Lonchura striata: one gene and its partner. The main gene of each other region encodes a partner of the protein of the gene in region 2 in a complex. Links are inferred from orthologs where the notes say so. Each region holds a gene or a part of one and is shown on either strand. Other genes may lie near its edges.

Region 1 (7,211 bases), on a different chromosome or scaffold from region 2:
TCCTATACTTGCCTTATTTCTATAGCCTTTCTTCCAGTATATCCTACCTATATCAAAGTCAGACCACCTGAACAGATGGAGCTTTGGTCTGACCTAATAGGGCCTTCTTTTGTACTTTGTACTTTTACATTTTATGTTAATCTTTTATAGAAGTTTATAGCATACCCCACCTTGCCTTCATCATCCTGCAGCAACATCCGTCCTGAGTCAGATTCCTTCACAACTGCCCCAATAGGGACATTAAATTCACTGTTTGGTTGAGTGTCCAGCCACACATGATCACCCTGGGGAGAAAAAAGCTACTGTTGAGTACAGTGACATACTTGATGCCACATAGCTCACAGGCAAACACCTCTTGGTCTTCCTTTTCTAGTTATTTGATTTCTTTACAAGTGTTTAGTTGAGTAAGTTCTTACTGCTTGCAGGCAGCACATTTACAGACCTTTGAATTCTGCTCCGAGCACCACAGCTGATCTGGAACATGACTTCGGACAAGTCATCAAACCCAGCTGTCTCACAAGAGGAAATGAGGCAACACTTTTTCCAAGAACAGCAATAATGCAGCTCCAGTACCTCTCAGAGGCTGACTGGGGGCACAGTGAATGCTGGGCAACTGGCTTGGCAGCCTCACATGAGCTATGATATTTTCTCAGAAGAGATTCTTGAGAACATAGACTTTGCCAGGAAAGAGAAAAACAAATAGATGTACATATTGGATGCCTGGAAATGTAAAGGCCTCTGTTGTGAGAAATTTTAGATATATATTTTTCCTGCTATAGCTGAAATGGGATCTCTCCATGATCTCTCTCATGAAAAAACCCACTAGCATTCTTTATCCAGCCCAGTCCCTCTCTTCACATAGGTGGAGGCTTATCAACATCTGGCACCTCTGCAGAGCAAGCAAGAACCTGCTCTGCTGTGCCTGGAGAAAGGGGTGAGCCACAGCTGCCCTTTCCTAGGAATAAGCAACATCTTGGAGTTTTCTGTACCAGTGTCCTGGTTATACTTCCCTACTGCAGGCTCTCGGGAGCACCTTCTCTTGCTCCAGTCCCTAATACAGATTCAAACAGAAAGATGGAATAAGAAATGATCAGAGTTGTAGATCAGTGTACTTTCTAGCTGTGTCTTGTCATATACAACTTTTGTTACACACCACAGCACTGATTGTCATAGTTTCAATGTTTTTACTGAAAAAAATATTTCTTTTTCCTCTCAAAATACTTTGTGGCTTACATTTAAAACCAAACAACCAATGTTAAGCATCCATAAACATTGCACAAGATTATGAAGAATGTTACAGACTAGCAGCTCTTATTTGTGTTGAATAAAACTCCAAAGGTAACTTGTGTAGTTTCAGTGCCACACCTTGTGACAGAGGTCACCTGCTCAACAAGAGGATGGCCTGGTAAGGCAAGACACCTCTGCTTCCCTAGTCTAGGCTAAAATTGTTTTATACCTTGTTGATACTGGGTTATTGCAACTTTCCTTTGATTGAATCATGATGGTAAGGTAATATTCCTCCTCTTTGGGCCTCAGGCTAATCACTCAATCAGAGCAAAGAGTAGGACTTACCTTTCTGAAAACCACCATTATGTTTCAGATCACTGTATGCAACCTGCATGCCAAGAACATAATGTTAGGTCAGAAAAGGGCTTTGATGAGAACAGACAGTGGGGTTTCCTTGCAAAAAAATAACATCAAAATGTCTTGAAATATTTTTTTTTTAAGTAGAAGAGATCATAGTAAGATACACTCAATGTAGAAACAATGACACCATCTACACAAAGCAAAGAACCCTACAGTTCTCTGAGTTCTATCATATAACCCTGGAGATGCTCTCAGCCCTAAAGATTTCACTGTCCACATTTTCATACCAAATAATTCTCTCAGTCAACTACTAGGCACAATTATTGTCTGAACTTCAAGGTTGGCTCACTAATAAAAAGACTCCACAGTACAATGTGATTTGATGCACAGCAGAGTTACCTTTAGCTAGTCCATTGACCCAACAGTTCAGTGGCTATCCCAGAGACACAGGTTTAATTAATACTTTCTGAGCTGAGTTCCCTCATACCCTCCAGCTTGAACCCACCACTAAACAGAAACAGAGGGTTAGAATTCACCTTCCTTGGCTGGAATGGGAGGGATTGCAATAAAGGCATGAACAGCAAAATAAGGGACTGGAGGGAACCACGATAAAAGTAGGAACATACTATTAAGAACATTACAGCCAAATCTCAGTGGCCAGAAATCTACAGCATTCCTTTAATTAAGGGATGGTGCAGTTTAGGCTGTCCTAATCAAGAAACTGAAGTCTTCAAAGCAACTTTATGTCCCACAGAGCTGGATTTTGGGAGTGATTCCATGTCTAGGATGATTTGCCAGCTGGTCTTTCATATTCTGTTATTCTTACAGTGAAGTCCTCATGATCTCATTCAGGACTCAGAGGCAGGACCTATGTATCAACTTCAACACTGAGATGGCCTGTTGCTGTGAGTGGTGCAGGGTGGAACAGAAGCACAGTCCTTGGCAAATACATGCTAAAGATGGGCCACAGTCAGTGATTCACAACTGCCAAGCCCTTTTTCACCTGCACCAGAAACCAGAATATGGCAAAAGAGTAGAAAAGTTGGCCCCGAACAAGGAGGGAGTGGCAGCTGCAAACACAGAGACAGCCATAGAGGGTCACATCAAAGGGACAGCTGTCTCCAGATCCTGTCTGACAGGAGCCAACAGCAGATGTGGAGGGAGGAGATGCCGTATAATCCCAGGATATGCAGTTCCAACACCTAAAATTCTTATTCCCAGAGTGGCCACCCCCTGCACCTGGTTGCATGGTCACTTCCTGGCCAAGCCTGGCTCTCTCTGCTGCTGCTCTTGACAAAGTAATTCTGCACCATAAACCAAATCACACCCCACAGGATGGGCATTTACCTCTCCAGAAGAAATCTTCACTTTGCGGCTTTTGCAACAGGTCGCTCTTTTTCATACGCATTGGAGTAAGAAGGGAAAGGATGGTGAAAGTGGCCCTGGTGCCATTAAGTTACAGTTCTCCACTGCACAAAGGAGGAAATGACTGAAGCACGGTTATTTATTACAGGACTTTGCTCCCAGTTCAGTGTATATGTCACTTCCAGGTCAGGTGTTCCAGGGAACACAAAGGCTAATTCTTGCCTGAGTGAACCTTAAACTTAAGTCTCTCCACTAGGCCTGTATCCTTTCAGATTTCTGGAAAGAACTCTCAGAAGAAAACCTTTAGCATCTGGTCTTATCCTGCTCCAGCATGACTGACTTCCCTAAGACTGTCTCTCAGCCTATTATGTTATGTATGAAGAAAATCAGACCCTCATTTCTTCATCAAAACCTCCCCTTGGTTTTCCATAGCTCTTTTCTGCAAGAAAATGCCCATTAGTCTGTGTTCTCTCTGGTCTGTGTTTCACAGTACTTAGAGTTCAGACCAAAATTAACTCATCACATTTAACTGAAATTCATAGTACACACCCACATAATTGGACAAAACATCCTGGTTTCACTCTCATTAATTTATCTCTCAACAAACACTCTTAACAAACATTTTGTCCCTGTGTTTCAGAATCCAGGTGCATGTTAACTCCCTAGCTGTCCACTTCTCTCTTCCCAAAATGGGACAGGATGGCTAAGAATTTTCCTCTGTCTATTGACTCCATATGTACTCTCTGTGGCCTTCTTGCAAAACTGGTAAAATTCCAGTATGGGAAAGAAACAGAAGTGTAGTACATATGTAGAGAGGCAGACACAGGGTTTATGCAGCCAAAGCAAGAACTCAGGAATCAAGCACATTCCAGCATTTATGATGAGCCCAAACAGTGAAGATGAGATTTTTTCCAAGTACCTTAATCCAGCCATGTCACCTTCCTCCGGGGCCCTGTGCACAACACTGTGCAGTAGTCTGTGTACCCACTATTAAACTTGCAAATATAAATGTGCAATAATTGTGAGCATGTGCTTATTTTCTTGTTTCCGAGGTTCAGTGTGGCTGTGCTGTATAATGGGGCCCCTGATGTAGCTCCACGTCCAAATCAGAGGTAAGAATTCAAGCATAACAATAAATAGTTGGGAGTAGCATGTGTTTATCAACATCACATATTTGTGTTTTAATGTCAGCCTCCTTACTTGAGTTTTTGTTCAAGTCTTACAGCAGCAGATACAGAAGCAGAAATAAAATGTAGGCCCTTCAGGGCTCAGAGACTTTTGGAGAGAAGCAGAAAGCCACAGAGAGCTTTCTTCAAGTTTCTAACTGCGCAAGCAAGATTTTGCTTCAAAGTAGTTCTTTAGCAGACTTATTTTTGATACAGTATTTAGATGTCTACATGCTGTATGTGATTAACAAAATTCCAAGTACTGGTTTTATTAGTTAAAGGTCAAATAGTGGCAAAGAAATCCAAGTACATACTTTTATACTACAAAGGCAGATATCTAAAACCAAAGCTTTTTGTATAATTGGAAAAAAAATGCTGTGCATATTCCTTCAGCAAACAAAACATACCTGCTGAAATTCCAAATGGAGCCTGTTTGAGGGCAGAGAATCTCATTCTAAAATTAACTACATTGTTAACAATTGTGCCCAAGATACAGTGCCTGTGCTACTTCAGAGAGAAATACAGGATTTATGTCCTATAGACACTGTACTAGATGAAATCATAGGGAAATCAAGGTCATCTGAAAGAAAAGTACAACTTATTGTACAGCTGAAATAGGCACTAGAAGGGAGATTTTGATTTCCACAGCTGACATATTCAAGAGGTAGAAAGCAAAAGCTGAGGGAGCAGGGACTTGATATACCAAGGGGAAGCAGCTAGGATGCTCTGTGCAGCACATGCAGCTAATGGGGTGAGCAGGCTAAAGGTGCCTCCAGAGAAGGACCTGTGAGTACACAGGGGCAGCTCAGGCTTGGCAGGCACTGAGCTGTGCAGATGGGAAAAGACAGGAGAGGAGCTTGCCAGGAATGAGCAACGCGATGTACTGCTGAACACAGAGTTTGGTGAGGGACTCTGCAGGGCACAGGAACATTTGTAGTGGTAATTAGGGGTGATCTGTAGCATGGTCTATGCTGATTAATTGTTGTAGGCTTTCCTTTAAGCAAATTGCTGATGGTGAAGATAGTGACATTACATCTTAAGTAGTAAAGCTCAAAAAATTATTATGTAGCAAGACACTGGCACAGGCTGCCCAGAGAAGCTGTGGCTGCCCCATCCCTGGAAGTGTCCAAGGCCAAGTTGGACAGGGCTTGGAGCAACCTGGGATAGTGGAAGGAAGTTCCACCCTGCTATGGTGGAACTGGATGAGCTTTAAAGTCCCTTCCAATCCAAACCATTCTGTGATTCTATGATGAATGCTGCACCGAGAAAAGCAACAAAATAAAATTTGAGGAACCCTGGTAAATTTAATTCTGCTGTTGTTCAAAGTAATAGGTCTGTCCAGATAGACATGTGTTAACAAAACTGCTCTTCCTGACACTTCCTAATTAAGAGATTGATGTCAGGATCAAAGGGTTTAATTTGCTCATGGCACTACCTTTCATATTTTCTCTCCAGCTAAAGCAAAGTGGCCTCGTCACTTCTGCGTCACCAGGTCCTGGATACCAAACATCATTTTATGTTAAACTAGTTATTTCTCTGAGGTTTCTGAAGCGAGGTGGATTGGGTGTAACAATTTGCAATTTAAACTGTTCATTCAGCAGTCCTCTTGCCTACACTAACCTCCTTCCCTTCCTCTAAGCAGATTTGTAGCTCTAAGTCACTGATGTCCGTTAACTCTGAAAGAGGCAGTGCAGGAAACAAACTAAATAAGAAGTACATACCATTACAGGATTTCCAAGTGCATCGCATAGTTTTCTTGAGCATTCTGTTCCTCAGGGAAAGGCTTATTTCATTCCAGCCTGTTCATGGAGTTGCACAGTGAGGCAGACTGGCAGGGCTCTGGGATCTGTGTCATTACACACCTTCACACTTGCCAAGTGGGCGCTGCTTACGCTGCTTGGTAGAAGACAGGTCATTCTCCCCCACTGTGCAATCCCATTATGGTCTGACTGTCACTCCATCCTTCCTTTTGGAAAGCAGCCAGGATGGTATTACAAGAGTATGTTACAGACTGATACTGCCAAGCTGTGGCTCACGAGGAACAAAGGCATGTGCATGTTAGTGTACGCACGCACTTACTGCAGAACGAGGGCTGGAATGGATGCCCAGTTATTCAGCATTGATGAGGTGAGGTTGTTTCAGACACAGTGCTCCCTCTCCTGTGTGATGCATGTGGCATGTCACAAGTAGGTTAGGAGGTATCATTTCAGAAAGACTGGAATTTATAACAATTAGGAAGAGTGATTCCTAATTCCTTCCACTCTCAGTAAATGCATAAAATATCCATTCTTTCATCAGTGATGCCTCAGTGCAATCTGGAATTTGGGACAGTAGCTCACCATGACTGCAGAACATGACACATACCTATAAAGGACTAATTTCCAAGGCAGACTATCATCATACTCTGATCCTCTTGGAAATTTTAGTATAGGATAGATTTCTGTGTTTTCTAGGCCCTTTGGTAGAATTTCCAGGTACCTTGGTAAACATTATTCACAAGGGATTTTTTGGTTTGGTTTTTTTTTGTTAGTTTCTATTTATGTTTTCCCTTGTCCATTATTTTCTGTTACACTACTCCCAAGTTATTTCCTTATTTTTTTATCTGTTGTGTTGTAAAGTTGCGATCCTGCCTTCGATTTAGTCAGTTGTGTAAAGTCATTCCATTTCTTTATGGAAGTCAGAGAAGTGCAATGACAGGAGCTTCCCATCACATACTGCCACATGTGCCAGCTCCTTCCAGAAAAGATCGCAGTGAAACTGCACAGTGCAAAGACCTAAAAGAAGTAAAAATCATGAGAACAAGAAAAAAGTGCATGATACCATTAACAGCATGGTCCTGAGCCTCACTTAAGGATCTTTGTGGCTATCTGGAAAAGACCAGAGCAGTAGAGCTGTAAACAGACACATTATCTGTGTTTCAGGGAAACAAAACAAAACAAAACAAAACAAAACAAAAAAAAAGGTTTTCTGCATTTTTTCTAAGAATTTAGGATTGTATCTGAGAAACATCTGACTCCACTGCCAATTTCTCCTTCTAAGTGTTTTGCTATAGAAGATGTTGAGTAATGACTCAGTCCTGAGAGTTAGCTGTGT
Region 2 (7,254 bases):
GTAAGTAAAGCTCTTCTGGATGGTCCAATTGTTGTGCAGCCATCCCCCGCCATCCTGAGGAGCAGAGCACCTGTCAGTCACCCAGCCCCTTTCCCTGCACCCCCAGCCTGGATGGTGCCCACCTGGGCGAGGATCTTGATCTGGTAGAAAGTGTTCTTGGCATAGTCCAGGGAGCCATTGAGCACCACACTGCCATTGGTCAGGATGTAGAAGAGCTGGTGATTGTTCACGTTGTCTGGGATCACCTGAGCAGGGGACATCAGCCTGTGTCACCAAGGCAGGGAGCAGAGCTGTCCCAGCAGAGACAGGGGCTCTATCCCCCTCCTTCTGCCAGGCTTGATCCGTGGGGACCCCCAGCCACCTGGTTCATCCCCAGCCTGAAACTGTTCAGCACCTTGCACCCATTGCCCAAAACCTCCCTGCCCCCCCAGAGATATGGGTCTGCCCTGGCCATGTCCCCCAGCCCCTCAGCACCACAGGGGTGGCCCAGGGGTGGGGTTTGGGTGTGGTGACCCACTCCACAGTGCTCTGAGCTCACCTCCTCGATGCGGTAGCTGACTTTGGAGGCGTTCCCGGTGTCGCTGTCGTTGGCAAACACGGTGTAGATGATGCTGTGCACGCTCGTGTTCTGGCCACACAGGGGGTGGTGGTGGAAGAGCAGGGGGGTGATGCTGGGCCTGGACCCTGCCAGCCCTGCCCTGGCAGGTTCTGGCCCTGCAGCACTGCCCAGTGTCGTGGGGCACACACAGGGATGAGCTGCTGCCCTTGCTCAGGCTGGGCAGAGGCTGGACCCCCTCGCTACCCTCCCTGGGGTCCCTTGGGAGCAGAGGCTGCACCTCAGCCCTGGGGTTGCTGGATGGGGGTCGGACTGAGCCCCACGCCCCATCTACACCTTGATTCAGTGTCACACTGTCCTGGGCTGACAGGTAGCTCGGGCACACCCTGAACTCATTGCAAGGGCAGAGTCCCAGTCACATTCCAGCGTCTCAGGGTGACACAGAGGCTCCCATCGGGAATTGCCCTGGTGATAGAGTGCTCCCAGGTGCTGGCTGCACCCCACGCCCAGGCACGCTGTCACCACACACCCAGCTGTGGGGCCACACTGTTCCCAGCCTGTTGTTGTCCCCCTGCTGGCACACCCATGCCACAGGAGCCACCCAGCACCCCTGCCCTGCTGCCCGTGGGGACTGGGAGGTCCCAGAAAGGTACCTCAGCGATGATGGCATTATATGGCAGGTATTGGAAGACCGGGGCGTTGTCATTGCGGTCATCCACGATGATGGTGATTTTTTTGGAGACCTACCAGGTGTCAGAGAGGGCACAAGGATGGGTGTGTGAGAGATGGTGGCCAGCAGAGCTGGATGCATTTCTGGCATCCCATGCCCACCCTGGCTAGCCAGCCAGCATCACCCACCCATTTCCAATTGTCTTCCCACTGAGCCTTGGCCATGGGGGCTCTCTTCCCCCTGCAGCCACCCAGCCCTTGGCCAAGCACTCACCTCGTTATTTACACCATCTGACACTCCGACAGTGATGGTGAGCTTGGCCTGGAGCTGAGGGGACACAAGGCAGGACTTGGTCAGGGCCAAAGTGAAGCTCAATCCTTGGATGTCTGAGCCCCAACCTCTGTGAGGACAATTTCCCCTCCAGGGAGTGACCCACAGGCTCTGCCTTCCATCCCCAAACCCCCAGACTCTCTCTCAGGCAGGGACATCTGATCCCATCTTCTGTCCTCACCTCACGGTCCAGGGAGCTCCTCAGTGTCACTCTGCCTGTTTTGAACTCAACAGAGAAGTAGAAGGCGTCTATCCCTTGGATTTGGTAGGTGAGAGGGTCGTTGTCAAGGTCATAAGCCTGCAGCTGGAAAGCAAACTGGCCTGGGGGCCCAGGCAGTGTCAGCCCCTGCCCAAAAACCCCCCAGTCACTCCTCTGACACCCCAGGCCCTTCTTGAGACCGCCCTACTCACCCAGCTCCAGGTCCTCAGGCACGTGGAAGATGGTCACGTTGATGATGGGGACTGTGTTTCCTAAAACTACAGGGGAGAGGAGCTGAGCACCATCACTGTGCCGGGCTCTGCTGGCACAGCCACGTCTGGCAGCACCTCCTCAGCTCCAGTCCCAGCTCCCAGCCGTGGCTGGGGTCTCTATGCAGGCAGGGGAACCCCCAGCCTCACCCCTGTGCTCATCCCACACCTCCAGACCATACTTCTCTTCCAGCTGCAGCCCCCATGCTTTCCCTACTGTCCAGCCCTGCCCTGCCCTGCATCCCCAGTGGGGCAGGCAGCTGTTTTGGGGTTGCAGCTTCCCCCAGGGAATGGAGAAAGAGTATTGGGAGTTGAAAGCAACTCCAACACCTTCCACTCACCCATGCCAGATCACCAAGAGGAGTCCTTACCTGCTGCCAGGAGGAAGGGGAGCAGCACCAAAGAGCGCCATGCCATCCTGCCAGGATGCCTGTGGGCACACACCAGGGAACAAGCACTTGAGAGACTGAGGCCTGCCCCCCAAACCCCTCCTGGGGAGCAGCCAGTAGGGCAGGAGAGGTGCTGGTGGGGACAGTCCCCTCTGCTGAGCCGGGCTGGTGAGCAAACACCAGGCTCCACACTGCACTCCTGGGCGTGGGCTCCCTGAGGACATGGCATGCGAGGACAGGGTTGGCCTCCAGGTAGAGGAGACTTTAGGTGTGCCTGGGGGACCCCAAGAGCCTGTTCTGGGCATGGCTGGAGGCTCCACTGCTTGTGCCCAACAGGGTCTCTCCAAGCAGTGCTTGGAGTAGCCCATGGTAGGACTGCAGTGTCTCCCTCCTTGTGCCGGGGTCTGTGGGCAGCTCCAGGGCTGGCAGACACCCCCACCTCCCCTCCATGCAGCAAAGTGCCCGTGGGACTGGGATAGGGGCTGACATCCCTTACCTGTGCCTGTGTCCCTGGGGATGCTGCCTCTGCACTCTCGTCTTGACACTGCCAGACCTTTGCCTCCTGCAGTAAACACGTTCATCAATCATTAACTGCAATTAAGGGGTGAGAAATCCCTCTCCCGTCTTCCATATTCCCTCTTCTCATCCCACAGCTCCCACCCAGCTCAGCTCCAGGCTCACTCCCCAAAACCAAGTCCCCAGGTGTCCATACTGGGTGCTGCCCCTCAGGATTCAGCCACCCCAGCCTGCATCCATGGAATCCCAGCTTCCAAGAAGGGATGTGGAGCCTGCAGGGGTGCAGAGGGATCCCAAACCCCCCCAGGAGACCAAAGGGGGGGTTAGGGAAATGCCCTGCATCCCCTGGGCTGGGGACACTGGGGTCCTACCAAGACAGGGGGGTGGGCACCAACCTTGTGGTGTGGCCACTGGGGTGGGTGCCTGGGGCCCTCTGCACCCCCTGCCACCCACTCCCCTCCCCAGGAGCTTGGCCCAGCCTCCCTGACCTACTTCAGACCCACTAGGGACAAGGGTGGATTGTCCAGCTCTGCTCAGGCAGAAAAGGACTGGGAGGTTGTGGTGGTGGGGGGGGGGGGCACGGCCAGCCTGTTGGACCCCCGCATCCGTGGCCTTATTCCCTGGAGAACACACAGGGCCTGGGTACTGGAAAAACTCTGGAGTCTTCCCAGACACTCAGCCTGCTCTGAGGTTTTCATCTCACCCTACACCCAGACAACCCCCAGAGAAGGGGCTACAGGGCACAGGCTGTGACCACCCCTTAGCAAACCTCTCCTGAGCTGTTCCAGGACCACCCCAGCTCCTGCAAAGGCTGCCCCAGGACATCCTCACAGACACCCCGTGAGCTGCCTGGGGTTACCCCCAGAGTCTCTCAGGGCTATCTTGGGGTGCCTCCCCAGAGACTCCTGGGGCTGGTGCTGGACACTGTTCTGCAAACTTCTCCTCGCTGTCCTGGGGCACTTCCACACCTCCCAGGGCTGTCCTGAGACATCCACAACGTCCTGAAAGGAGGTTGTAGCCTGGTGGGAGGCGACCTCTTCCCCCTGGCAACCGGTGAAGGTTTAGGTTGGACATCAGGAAGAATTTCTTCACGGAAAGTTTTGTCAGGCATTGGAATGGGCTGCCCAGGGATGTGGTGGAGTCACTATCCCTGGAGATGTTTAAGGAAAGACTGGATGTGGCACTCAGTGCCATGGTCTAGTTGACATGGCACTGAGTGTCTAGTCTAGTTGGGTCATAGTTTGGGCTGCATGACCTCAGAGGTCTTTTCCAACCTAGCTGATTCCGCGATTCCCTAATTCCCGTGATCGTTCCCAGCCCCGTCCCGGCGGCGTTTGTGCGCTGCCACTCGGAGCATTACGGCCGAGGAGCTCCGCCGCGCATTTCAGCGGCGCCGCTCTTGGGCTCATTACGGCAGGAGGCGGCGGGCGCGCCCATCGGCGGGCGCGGGGGGGGAGGCGGTGCCGCGCGGGGAGGGGGGCAGCGCGGCGCGGCCGGTTCCATCGGCGCGGCGGGCGCGGGGGCGCCATGAGGCGGGGCTGAGACCGGAGCGGGAGCGGCACCGGCACCGGCACCGACACGGAGCCCGGCGGGCCCGGCCGCCGCGCCATGCGAGCGGGCTGAGGGGCGGGCAGCGCCGGGGCACGGCACCGAGCGCCGCGGGCGCGCCTCCCGAAGGTACGGGGTGAGGCGGCGGCCGCAGGCCCGGGCCGTGCGGGGCAGGGCCGGGGCACCGGGGGGAGGCGGCGGGCAGGGCCCGGGGCTGGCGGGAGGCGGAGGGAAGGGGGAGGGCAGCCTCGGGGCGGCGGGACGGGGAGGGCGGCGGGCAGGGCGCGGAGCGATGGGGCGGATGCGGGGCTGCGGGGCCCGCTGCGGCGGGCGGAGGAGCGAGCGCGGCCCGGTGCGGCGGGGCCGGGCCCGGTGCGCGGAGCGGGCGGATGGCCGGCGCGGCCGGGGGTGGCGGCTGCCGGGGCATCGGGGCCCGGGGAAGCGGCCGCAAAGCGCAGCCAGGCCCGGTGCAGCCGCAGGGCGGTGGGAGGAGCCCCCGCTGCTGGGGGAGCCCCGCGGGGACCGGGGGCAGCGGGGACGGAGCCGGAGCGCTGCTGCCCGTGGCGGCTGTCCGAGCCTGCCCGGCCGGAGCCCCTTCTCGGGGTCCCCCGCGATCCCGGCCGGGCGGGAGTCGGGGGCTTCTGCTGAGGCTGGTTGTCTGGCTTCGGTTACGGGCTTCTGACTGGCTGTGTCCTCGTCCCGCTTGGCACCTCGCGGTGTCCCGTTCGCCGTTCCCCCGGACCCGGTAAACTGTGTCAGCTCGGGGCAGGCTCCGGTGTGGGAGAGGGGACGGGAGGGGAAGTGGTGAAACTCTTCGGAAAGTTGTCCCTGGAGAGGAGGTAGGAAACAAATGAGCCCGAGGTGACGGCGTGGGGGTAGTGGCACCGGGGGTGGTGGCGGTGGCACAAGCCGCGCCGCCGGCCCGGCAGGATCTGTGCTGGCAGCGTGGGCTGTGTGTGGGCCCGTGGCAGCCCTGTCCCACGGAGGACGTGTGGGACCACGTTGTGGGCAGCTGGAATGCACTCCAGGGTTTGCTCTCCCGGGCAGGAATTGAGCTCTGTGGCTAGGCAGGTGCTGTTCCTCCGTCTGGGGACAACCCCTCTTTCCAAGACCCTGGCTCTGTTTTGTGCTGGTACCTTGTCCACCAGCTCTGCACCGGCCCAGCACAACCGGCTGTGTGTGCCTGCAGCTCCAGACATCATCCCTGCCTTGCCTTCTCTCTGTCCTGTGCCACTGCCTTGCTCTGTCCCTCTATCACCTGCGCCCATGTCGGCTCTGATGCCCCAGGACCTCGAGGCCGCCCTCGAGGTGGGTCTTGTGCCCCGGGGGGATGCGCAGGGCAGAGCCCGGCGGGGCAGGTGGGTCCCGGGGCCAGCAGGAGCCCCGGGAGGAGGAGCAGCTGTCGGAGGAGAGCCGGCTGCGTCTGATGTCACTGCGGTGCATGGTGGGTAATTATGCACGTTGCAATGAAAATAATAAGGCCGGCTCCATAGTGTGTCTAAAAATACTGCTAATGCGGAGTGCCTGCTGGGTGCCTTTGTTCGTCACCTTTGGGTGTCTGCTCTGGGGCTGGCCGGGTGGTGTCACACCCCTCGAGCAGTGGGTTACGTTTAGCAGGTGAAATGTGGCCCCTCCATTCCCCCCCCGCACTGGGACACGGTGCCAGTGGAGACAGGGCAGGTGTTGACATGGGAGGTGAGGCAGGAGGTACCTGTGTGTGTTTTGGAGGCTTCAGTGCCACCTCCCTGCACGCAGCCATGCAAGGGGTCTCAGTGGGATGGCAAGGCTTTGTTCCCCTAGCCTTGCTTGGAGCTAGGCGCTCTCCAAGTGGTGGACAAAAATCTGTCCTGATATCCCCTGGCAAGTTCCAGCTCGTTCAAGTAGAGATCAGGATTTGGGCCCTGATGATCTGGTCTGTCCATTGCTGGCATTGTGTGGCCAGGGCAGAGCTCACTGGAGCTGTGGCTGCCACCATGGTGTGTCCTGGTCCTGATGGGACTCAGACTGTGGCAACTTGCTGTGCTCTGGCTGTGCAAAGGTGGGAGGGAGAAGGGATATGCCCCTGGAACAGAGAGAAATGATGTGATAGGTGCTGAGGGGCAGCTGGGTGCTGGCCAAGGGCTGGCCAGCACTCTGATGTCCACTCCGTGGGTTCTGCCCAGATGCTCTCGGTGCAGCTCTGGCTGCTCCCGTGGTCCCTCTGTCTGCTGCCAGGCACTGGAAGCTCCTGCTGCTGTGGAGGAAGAGGCTTGCAGGGGTGGCGAGAGCCATCTGGCTGGCAGGCTGGCAGGGGGAAGGTGTTGTGTGGCAGGGCAGCAGCAGAGGGCTGGGAAGGGCAGGAAACACTGAGCCTATGAGCCTGGGTCTCAGTGACGAGTCTCTTCCGCTTTGTGTGCAGGGAGGTCAGAGAGGTGGCAGCTGCTCTTGGTTTCAGCTGGTGCTTGTGGTGGGCTCTGACTCCAGCTGTCAGCTGTGGGAGCTGAGCCTTGGCCCTCTTCACTGTGGAGCAAACAGGGAGATGTCACCCTGCTGGCTTGCTGGGCTGCTTCGCCTTCAGGGTCATTGCTGTGTTCTCGGGGCCCTTCACTGGAGAGGGAGTGTCGCTGCTGCCTCTGTTCTTGCCAGGTGCTCACTCTGACCTCTGAAGGTACACATAGCAGTGATGTTCCCCTGAGCAGTGAAACACACTGTCCCTACCTGCTGGGCTGTGTGGCTCCCTTTGGTGAGTGAGGAACAAGGAACGGGGTAGGAGACTTTGCAAATCCCATTGATCCACA

Evidence for each region. The genes of interacting proteins can lie anywhere in the genome.
Region 1: CDHR2 (region 2) and MYO7B share a complex: the UniProt entries of both Homo sapiens proteins name them as parts of the IMAC/intermicrovillar adhesion complex. The link is inferred for Lonchura striata from reciprocal best matches to the Homo sapiens genes CDHR2 and MYO7B.

What each region holds. Positions count from the first base shown.
Region 1 is NC_134612.1:7,446,420-7,453,630, reverse strand, and holds the start of MYO7B (unconventional myosin-VIIb), read right to left. Parts: upstream 3,001-7,211; 5' UTR 2,935-3,000; intron 1,616-2,934; 5' UTR 1,591-1,615; coding exon 1,573-1,590; intron 285-1,572; coding exon 171-284; intron 1-170. UniProt on the Homo sapiens protein: Myosins are actin-based motor molecules with ATPase activity. Their highly divergent tails are presumed to bind to membranous compartments, which would be moved relative to actin filaments.
Region 2 is NC_134617.1:3,431,343-3,438,596, forward strand, and holds the start of CDHR2 (cadherin-related family member 2), read right to left. Parts: upstream 3,002-7,254; coding exon 2,910-3,001; intron 2,455-2,909; coding exon 2,396-2,454; intron 2,034-2,395; coding exon 1,968-2,033; intron 1,878-1,967; coding exon 1,738-1,877; intron 1,554-1,737; coding exon 1,500-1,553; intron 1,300-1,499; coding exon 1,210-1,299; intron 629-1,209; coding exon 539-628; intron 246-538; coding exon 123-245; intron 55-122; coding exon 1-54. UniProt on the Homo sapiens protein: Intermicrovillar adhesion molecule that forms, via its extracellular domain, calcium-dependent heterophilic complexes with CDHR5 on adjacent microvilli. Thereby, controls the packing of microvilli at the apical membrane of epithelial cells.